Macaca fascicularis: one gene and its partner. The protein of the gene in region 1 interacts with the protein of each later gene in a pairwise test. Links are inferred from orthologs where the notes say so. Each region holds a gene or a part of one and is shown on either strand. Other genes may lie near its edges.

Region 1 (3,650 bases):
ACAGGAGTCAAACAGTATGACAATAAGGATGATATGATATGATAACCAAGGACAAAATAATAACTAGTATGAGCATTTACTGCATTATAGTCAGTGTCCTGAGTACTTTAAAGATATTAACACATTTATTTCTCATAATAACTCTATCACACAGATTCATGTAGACTCTATCATATAGAAACCAGAGCACAGAGATTAAGTATTTGGTCTAAAAGATGGCAAAATGGCATAGCTAATAAATGGCATAGCCAGAATATAAATTTGTACAATCTTGATTCAGAACTTGGGCATGAAGCAATTATTTGGACAATCTTGATTCAGAACTTGGGCATGAAGCAATTATAATTTTGCTACTTACATGGCTGGCATCTACAACACAAGTCTGCTTTCAATCAACAACTAGAATACAATCACATCAAATACTTGTCAGTACTATGTCTTGCTCCTTTATCAAATCCGATTTTCTAGAAAGTTGCATGCCTGGACTCTAGCAGCTCGCAGGTATGGCTTCAGAGAGTAACAACCATATATTATATCCGTTTGTTTACTCGTTTGCTTGTCTGTTTTTGCTGGAAACAACAGAAGCGCTAACTACAGAAAAACATTTTGGTTGTTCTACAACCATTATCAAGTATACATTAGTATGAGTATAAATGTCCATGAATTAAAGAGCCATAAGAGTCCATGAAATAAAGGTCATTTCTATGGAAAGCCTTTGAAGATTTTTTTTTCAACCATAAAAATGGTCCTTAACTCTGTAGTTAGCTGACTCAATTTTCTACCTTTATTAATTATATTTCTTTATTTGGACCTTTGATTATAAACTAGCTTAAGTCTTTTTAATAGTAGGTAAAATACAAATAACAGTTTTAAACTATATACATGATTTGTTATATTTCAGAGAAATAAACCTATGACCTAAATATCAATGTGAAAATGTTTAATTTTCTTAAAACTATAAAAAAAATTATCTGTGGAAATGCTGCCAAGAACAAACATACTTTATATATTTATTTGAAAATATTATACATTTATGTTACAGAAAAAAGAAAATCTTACCTCCTTCTCTTTTTCAAGTGACTTTTTCAGTTCCTTCTGTTCCCTAAGTGTGTCGTCCATCTGCACTTGAAGTTGATGCTTTAATTCTTTGCAAGTTTTCTCCTTAAAAAAAATGAAAACTATATTACATAAAAAATATTTGTAATAACCTTAAGAAGTTTAGTTTATAACCTTAGTAAGAAACACACGAGGAAATAAACTAAAATTATCGATGAGCTGAGACAGGATCATCCATTTCAATGATAAAACTAGGAAAATATTACAGAAATAATGGAGGAGGGACAACAAAACACTAAGGGTTTTGATCATCAACCAAGTCACAATGACATATTTTAAACAATATTAAGATGATATCTTAGAACACTTTAGAAATCACATTTTATGTCACACAATTCATTGTAATTAACTTGCCACACTACTTTTACAGCAATGGGCTTCAAGAAAATGGAAGCAAGAAAACTTAGAAAACAATAAATTAAAAAGTGATCACAATAGGAAAAGTGTACAGATAGAAAATGTTTTCACCAAACAGGAAGGAACATAACACACATGAGAAAGACTGTGATATTCAACTGAAAATATTCTTGGCCTTCAGAAAATGGTGTGCTCACAGGTGCATACACACCCACATTATTATCTTGGGCTTCTTCTCAGGTTAAGCAATCCCAATTTATTTCCTCATAAGAACTGCTTTAAATTATTTAAATGTGGAAAGAGAAGCAAACTGTGAATTAAGCAGAAAAATAAGTACATTTTAAATAAAATAATCACTTCTACTTAAGAAAGTAAATGTAAACTACTAACCAAGTCTAATATAGCGGCTTTTCCTTTCTGATTCTCCTTTTCAAATTCACTTTTGGAGTGTTTCAAAGAATCAGAAACTTTTGACAGTTTCTCCTTTACTGTAGAAAGCTCTGTCATTAAAGCTTCTTTCTCCATTTTCACTTTTTGTAGTTCTGTTACTGTTGTTTGAATTCTGTTATTCAATTCCTCGTGCTGAATCTTTGCTTCTTGACTTAAAGTTTCAAATTCCTGTTTCAGGACTTTTTTTTCTTCCTCTTGCTTGGTAAGCTTTGGCTTGATAATTTCAAGGGCTTGAGATTTTTTCTGTAGATCCAATCTTGTACTGGATACTCTAAATATTTTTTAAAAACTTTTTAAATAACACATAATTTACTATTTCTAATTTACCATTCAAAATTAATGATAAACAATTACTGAGTTCTGAAACTTTTTTCGTATAGTTCACAAGTAAAATCTAATTTCATAAAATCATACCACTGAAAAATACTTTAGAACATCTCATTTGCTCATTTAACAGATGTAGATTATTTTTCCCAAGTCATATAAGTTAGTAGTGAAGACAAAACTATCTAAGCTTCCTGACTTAATGCATTTTTGTCCACTACAACTAATTCCCAGGGAAAAAAACTATGTATCACAGACCCTTTAGTCTATAACAGCCAGAAACGTTTTTCCATAAAGAATCTATTTATTATGTTAGTTCTCAACAGAGAGAACTTTGTCTCTTTCCTTGAAAACATGAAACACATTATGTGTGACAGTTCTTAAACTTCAAAATATTTATGGTTAACCTAGAAAAAAATAAAAGTAAAAAAATAAAAGAAATATTTTATTTACAATATAGAGGGAAGACAAATGATTTACTTTAACCCTAGAACCTAGCAGATTATACAAAGGATTTGTTATCATTTGTTCCTTAATATAGGTCTCTTATACACAAATGAAAAAAGCAACAAGAATGAAGAAATAAAGTTATAGCTTTAGAAAGCTATAGACTTTTATTGTTTTCATAAAAGAAACTATGCAAATTATACAGCAAAACCCCCGATACAGTATAAATAACAGCCATTTTTAAAGTCAAAACCAGATGCTAAGTAACAGCATTTCTAGAATGCACACTAGTTCCAATGTAATCAGAATAAATTTAAAACCAATAAAAATAATTCAACAATATGTTAAAGGGAGGTTGTTAAAAGATGTACTAATAAAGTATTTGAAATTGTGTATTAATACAAAATCAAAACTGTATTTATACCTCAAAATCTGATTTTTTAGTTCTAGAAACACACTTTTACCTCCTTAAAAATAGCTAGAAAAGATGTTAAAGCTTAATAGGTTCACAAGATACTATGCCTCCCTGATTTTTAATGATCCAAATGGAAAAGTCATTACACTAATATTATTTTACCATTTTAATGTAGTTAAAATCCCTGTCAAGCAACCCTAAAATTAAGACTCAGTATATTTATTTATATGCTGCTTAACTTTTTCAAAATTAATTACAAAATCATAAGATTATGTGAAACAAAGAAGGCAAAACAGAAATAGAGGCTTACATAGTCACTGTGAAACTTCTTGTTTGTTTTTTTTAAGTAACTCAAAGAAGAAATACATGAGTCCACAATCATAGTTGGAAATTATAATATCTCTTTCTTAGAAACTGATAGAACAACCAGAGGAACAAATTGGCAAGAATATAGACAATAAGAACAGCACCGTAATTGTTATTTATAGGCCACTCCACCTAATAACACAGAGTACATATATGTGCACATGGAAAATTAATT
Region 2 (4,097 bases), about 37 Mb from region 1:
CTGAAAGAATGGTGAGAAACAGAATATGAATATGTATATGTGATCATTGATTTCGGACCCCTTTTCCTAATCTCTCTGTGCATGGCCACCCACCCCACCCCATTTTGGCTAGTGCTGACAGTGAACAAAGTGGTTATTATCGTTCCTATTTATGGCTGGGGAAACTGAAGTCTATATACTTCCTACTTTCTCCACACACCAGCAAACTTCCTTTCCCCCAGCCAACATACCACACACACACAACACACCACATACACACCATATATGCACACACACACACCCCCATGCACATACATAGCGGCAGGAAAAGGGCTCCCGGGGAATTTGCCTCTCGACACTGCATTTCCCAGTAAGCCCGCCCTTTTTCCTTTCTGTTTCATATCACAAACAGCAAAGTTTTCCAAAGATTATTTTATTTACATTTACATACGATTCTGAAAAAGCGTCTCCAAGCTACCACTTCTTGTAGTTGCCATTGTCTCACTCCAACAAAAAACATCTCAGACCGCCCGCCGGCCACCCCAAATACTCCTGTCCCCTGAAGCCTCACTAAAGGGAGGAAGCGCTGATGTCAGGGTTACTTAAATTCCCAGGCTCCGGATCCCTAGAAGAGGTATTTCCCTTTACGCCCGCGAATTTGTCATAGAAGGCGGGGCACTAGAGCCAGCCCCGGCCAAGTCCAGGGGGAGGGGCGAAGGTCAATAGAGGCCTTCCTAAGGCTCCTGTCAACCCCTCGCCTGCCAGTCAAGTCCCGTATTTTCGTAGTACTGGTTAAAGTTTCACTTTGACCCGCCTCCTTCACTCACCTGATTAGATGTTTATGAGTCAAAAGGCGGGGTCATGGGGTGTCGAGATTTTATTGGTGGATACATACGCCTGTCGGCACTGTACCGCCCCCTGTCTTCAGGAGCTTGCTCTTTAATGGCTCCTTACCTCGTCCATCTTCGAGGTTTCTCCCTTGCTATTGGTTTGTGGCCCCGCCTGTCGAGTCCCTTGCTCGTACTTGTTGGTGACAGCGCCCAAAGAGACCCGCCTTTCTCCAGAGGATTGGTGGATGAGTGCACATATAGCCCACCCCCCGATGGTAGGCGGGTAATCGAGCTATTGGCTGGAACCCCCGCCCCAGGGCGAGGAGGAGAAGGAGGGGCAGGAGGGTTTGGTTGAGCTGCAGCTGTTTGTCTGTTCGACACAGGCTTGGGGCCGACGGGGGAGACGGAGCCCCAGGTACCGAGCTGATGGACCCCAAAGGGCAGGGGCGGAAGCGCCCAGGAGATGAGAGCAACCTGGCCTGAGAGCGGAGGCGGGTGTGGTCCTAAGCGAGGGGTTAGAGTGGCCCACCGGAGAGGGGAGCAGGGGGCCGGGCTCCGGCAGGCCTAATGGGGGCGCTGAGGAGGGGACTGGGCGGGCTGGGACCCCGAAGTTGGTGAGTCGGGAAGGCGGCTGGCTGTGGCGGCGGCCAGGCCGAGGGCCGGGCGCTGGAGGCTCGGTGCTTGAGTGAGGGGAGGGGCAGGCCTCATTAAGCAGCGCTGAAGAGGGAGGAGCTGGGGAAAGGGACAGGGCAGCGGGTGAGGTAAGCCCATTTGCTGGGAGGTGAGGAGGGGTCAGACCTGTCGCCCGAGCCCCGGGGGTGACTTGAGCTGGGTCTCTCCAGAGAGGTTCATTGGAAGGGCCTGAGAAGGGTTCTTAGTTGGAAAGAAGCGTTCTTTTCAGGGAAAGTGCCTATTGTAAAAAGAACTGAGGGTGCTATGGTGTTGAGCTGAGAGAGATTTGGGTTCAGTGAGGGAGAACTGGGGAAAATGAAGAAGGCTGTATTAATCTAGAAGACTAAGGTAGTTGAAGTAATGGAAGCAGGGCCTGAATCAGTTATGGGAGCTTCTGGGAATGCTGAAGGGTGGGCTGGAGGCTCTGGGTCTTGGGAGTACACACTCTTTTGTTCCCTTTAGTATTTAGATGTGGTAATTTGAAGCTTTTTAAAACTCCCAGGGTAGGGATGAAGATCAAAGTAATTTTTTTTTTTTCCATGACTGTTGGCTGCTCCAAACTCAGCCCCTACACTTTCTCTTGGCTTCATAACTGGTCTATATTGCGGTCTGTTTCTTAACTTACTGTTTCCTGTCCTATGAAAGAGCCAAGAGTTGGATTGGGGGCATGTTTTGTCCACTTCTTTCCCACTTAATAATGTGGTCTATAGTGAATACCGTGTCTCCTAGAACTGAGAATCTATTTCATTATCTACATGGGAAAAGGGCTTAGAGATCCTCAGCCATCAGGAAATCTTCTGATTATAGTTGGTGAAACTTTTGTGGGACTTAGACTTGACTTGGGTATTTCCCAGGCAGGTAATGGAGTTAACAGGTCCGAAACTATGAGGTGATATCACTGAGGAAGAGATTTGGGGAAGAGTGAGAAATTCCATTTCAAAAGCTTGGCATCACCCCTTGTTCTTTGTCTACTTCAAAAGCCCAGATTTCTGTGCTGTTAAAAAGTTGGGTAAACTATGAAGTATCTGGGGAAGATGGTGAGTAGAGAAAAAGATACAGAGGTGCAGTAGCCCACGTCTGTAATCCCAGCACTTTGGGAGGCTGAGACAGGAGGATCACTTGAGCCCAGGAGTTCGAGGGTACAGTGAGCCACGATCTTGCCACTGCACTCCAGCCTAGGCGACAGAATGAGACCCTGTCTCCAAAAACAAAAAAAAAAAAGAAGAGTGGAGTACCCTCCTCCCTGCATACTTTTAATGGTCTGCTAGCCTTCTTAGTCCCTCATAGATTGGAGCCTATTGGATTTTCCCTTACTGTGCTTCCTCCTTTTCCCCTTCTCTACCAATATATTTTATCACTACATTTCTTTTTTTTTGAGACGGAGTCTTACTCTCTCGCCAGGCTTGAGTGCAGTGGTGCAATCTCGGCTCACTGCAACCTCCACCTCCCAGGTTCAAGAGATTCTCCTGCCTCAGCCTCCCAAGTAGCTGGGACTACAGGCGCGCACCACCACGCCCAGCTCATTTTTGTATTTTTAGTAGAGACGGGGTTTTACCATGTTGGCCAGGATGATCTCAATCTCTTGACCTCATGATCTGCCCGCCTCGGTCTCCCAGAGTGCTGGGATTACAGGCATGAGCCACTGCACCCGGCCATCACTACATTTCTTAATTACAAAAATAATATGTTCATATTTTAAAATATGGAAGCTGTTCAGCAGTTTAAGAAGTATAAATCCTCCCGTACATACCTTACTCATATTTCATTTAGGAAGGTCAAGGATCAGAGACAGCAAATCAGACTTATCTTGCTTTGCTTTGGGGGATGTGCCACAAAAGGCAGTTCTGTTTTCATGTTCTCACCAAACTCTAGTCTTATTCTTTCTACAGTTTTCCCTTCTGGGATGATACTCTGTTATTTATTGCGTTCCTTTCACAGTTCATTTTGTCTTCTACCAAGTCCAACAAGCAGAGGGCTGTACTGTGTGTTATTCACCTTCAGTACACACACACACACACACACACACACACACACCCCAAGTTATGTGCTGGGTGTCCTAGGAAATGCCCAAAGAGATGGAACAAAACTTTATGGGGAGAAAGGATCATTTTGTTTGGGACAATTGTTGTCATCTCTGCTAAAGAAAGGAATTTCAGAGCCTTATCTCAAATTCATGGTCTCTGGATGTTCATGGTCTCTGCATGTTCACATTACTTGACTATCTCTTTCTTATCCATGATGATGATGGTTCTCCTAAGAGCCCCCTGTATTTGTCTTTCTTTTCTTTTCTTCTATTTTTAGAGACAGAGTCTTGCTCTGTCGCTCAGGCTGGAGTACAGTGTGTGTCTTTCTGTGGGGATCCAAGAAGCTCCAAGCTTATCTGGATTTGAAATCGGTTTTCCTCTAAATCTCAAGAGTCAGAGTACAGCTGGGGCATTTCATATTACCATCTTTTTTTTTTTTTTTTTTTGAGACGAGTCTCGCTCTGTCACCCAGGCTGGAGTACAGTGGTACGATCTCGGCTCACTGCAAGCTCCGCCTCCCAGGTTCACACCATTCTCCTGCCTCAGCCTCCCAAGTAGCTGGGACTACAAGCGCCTGCCACCACGCCCGGCT

What was found. The genes of interacting proteins can lie anywhere in the genome.
Region 2: the proteins of EEA1 (region 1) and RAB5B interact in binary tests that used the Homo sapiens proteins (3 or more experiments, as listed by UniProt). The link is inferred for Macaca fascicularis from reciprocal best matches to the Homo sapiens genes EEA1 and RAB5B.

Annotation. Positions count from the first base shown.
Region 1 is NC_088385.1:99,818,916-99,822,565, forward strand, and holds part of EEA1 (early endosome antigen 1), read right to left. Parts: intron 2,195-3,650; coding exon 1,864-2,194; intron 1,162-1,863; coding exon 1,060-1,161; intron 1-1,059. UniProt on the Homo sapiens protein: Binds phospholipid vesicles containing phosphatidylinositol 3-phosphate and participates in endosomal trafficking.
Region 2 is NC_088385.1:62,753,870-62,757,966, forward strand, and holds the start of RAB5B (ras-related protein Rab-5B), read left to right. Parts: upstream 1-1,158; 5' UTR 1,159-1,224; exon of another isoform or gene 1,225-1,304; intron 1,305-4,097. UniProt on the Homo sapiens protein: The small GTPases Rab are key regulators of intracellular membrane trafficking, from the formation of transport vesicles to their fusion with membranes.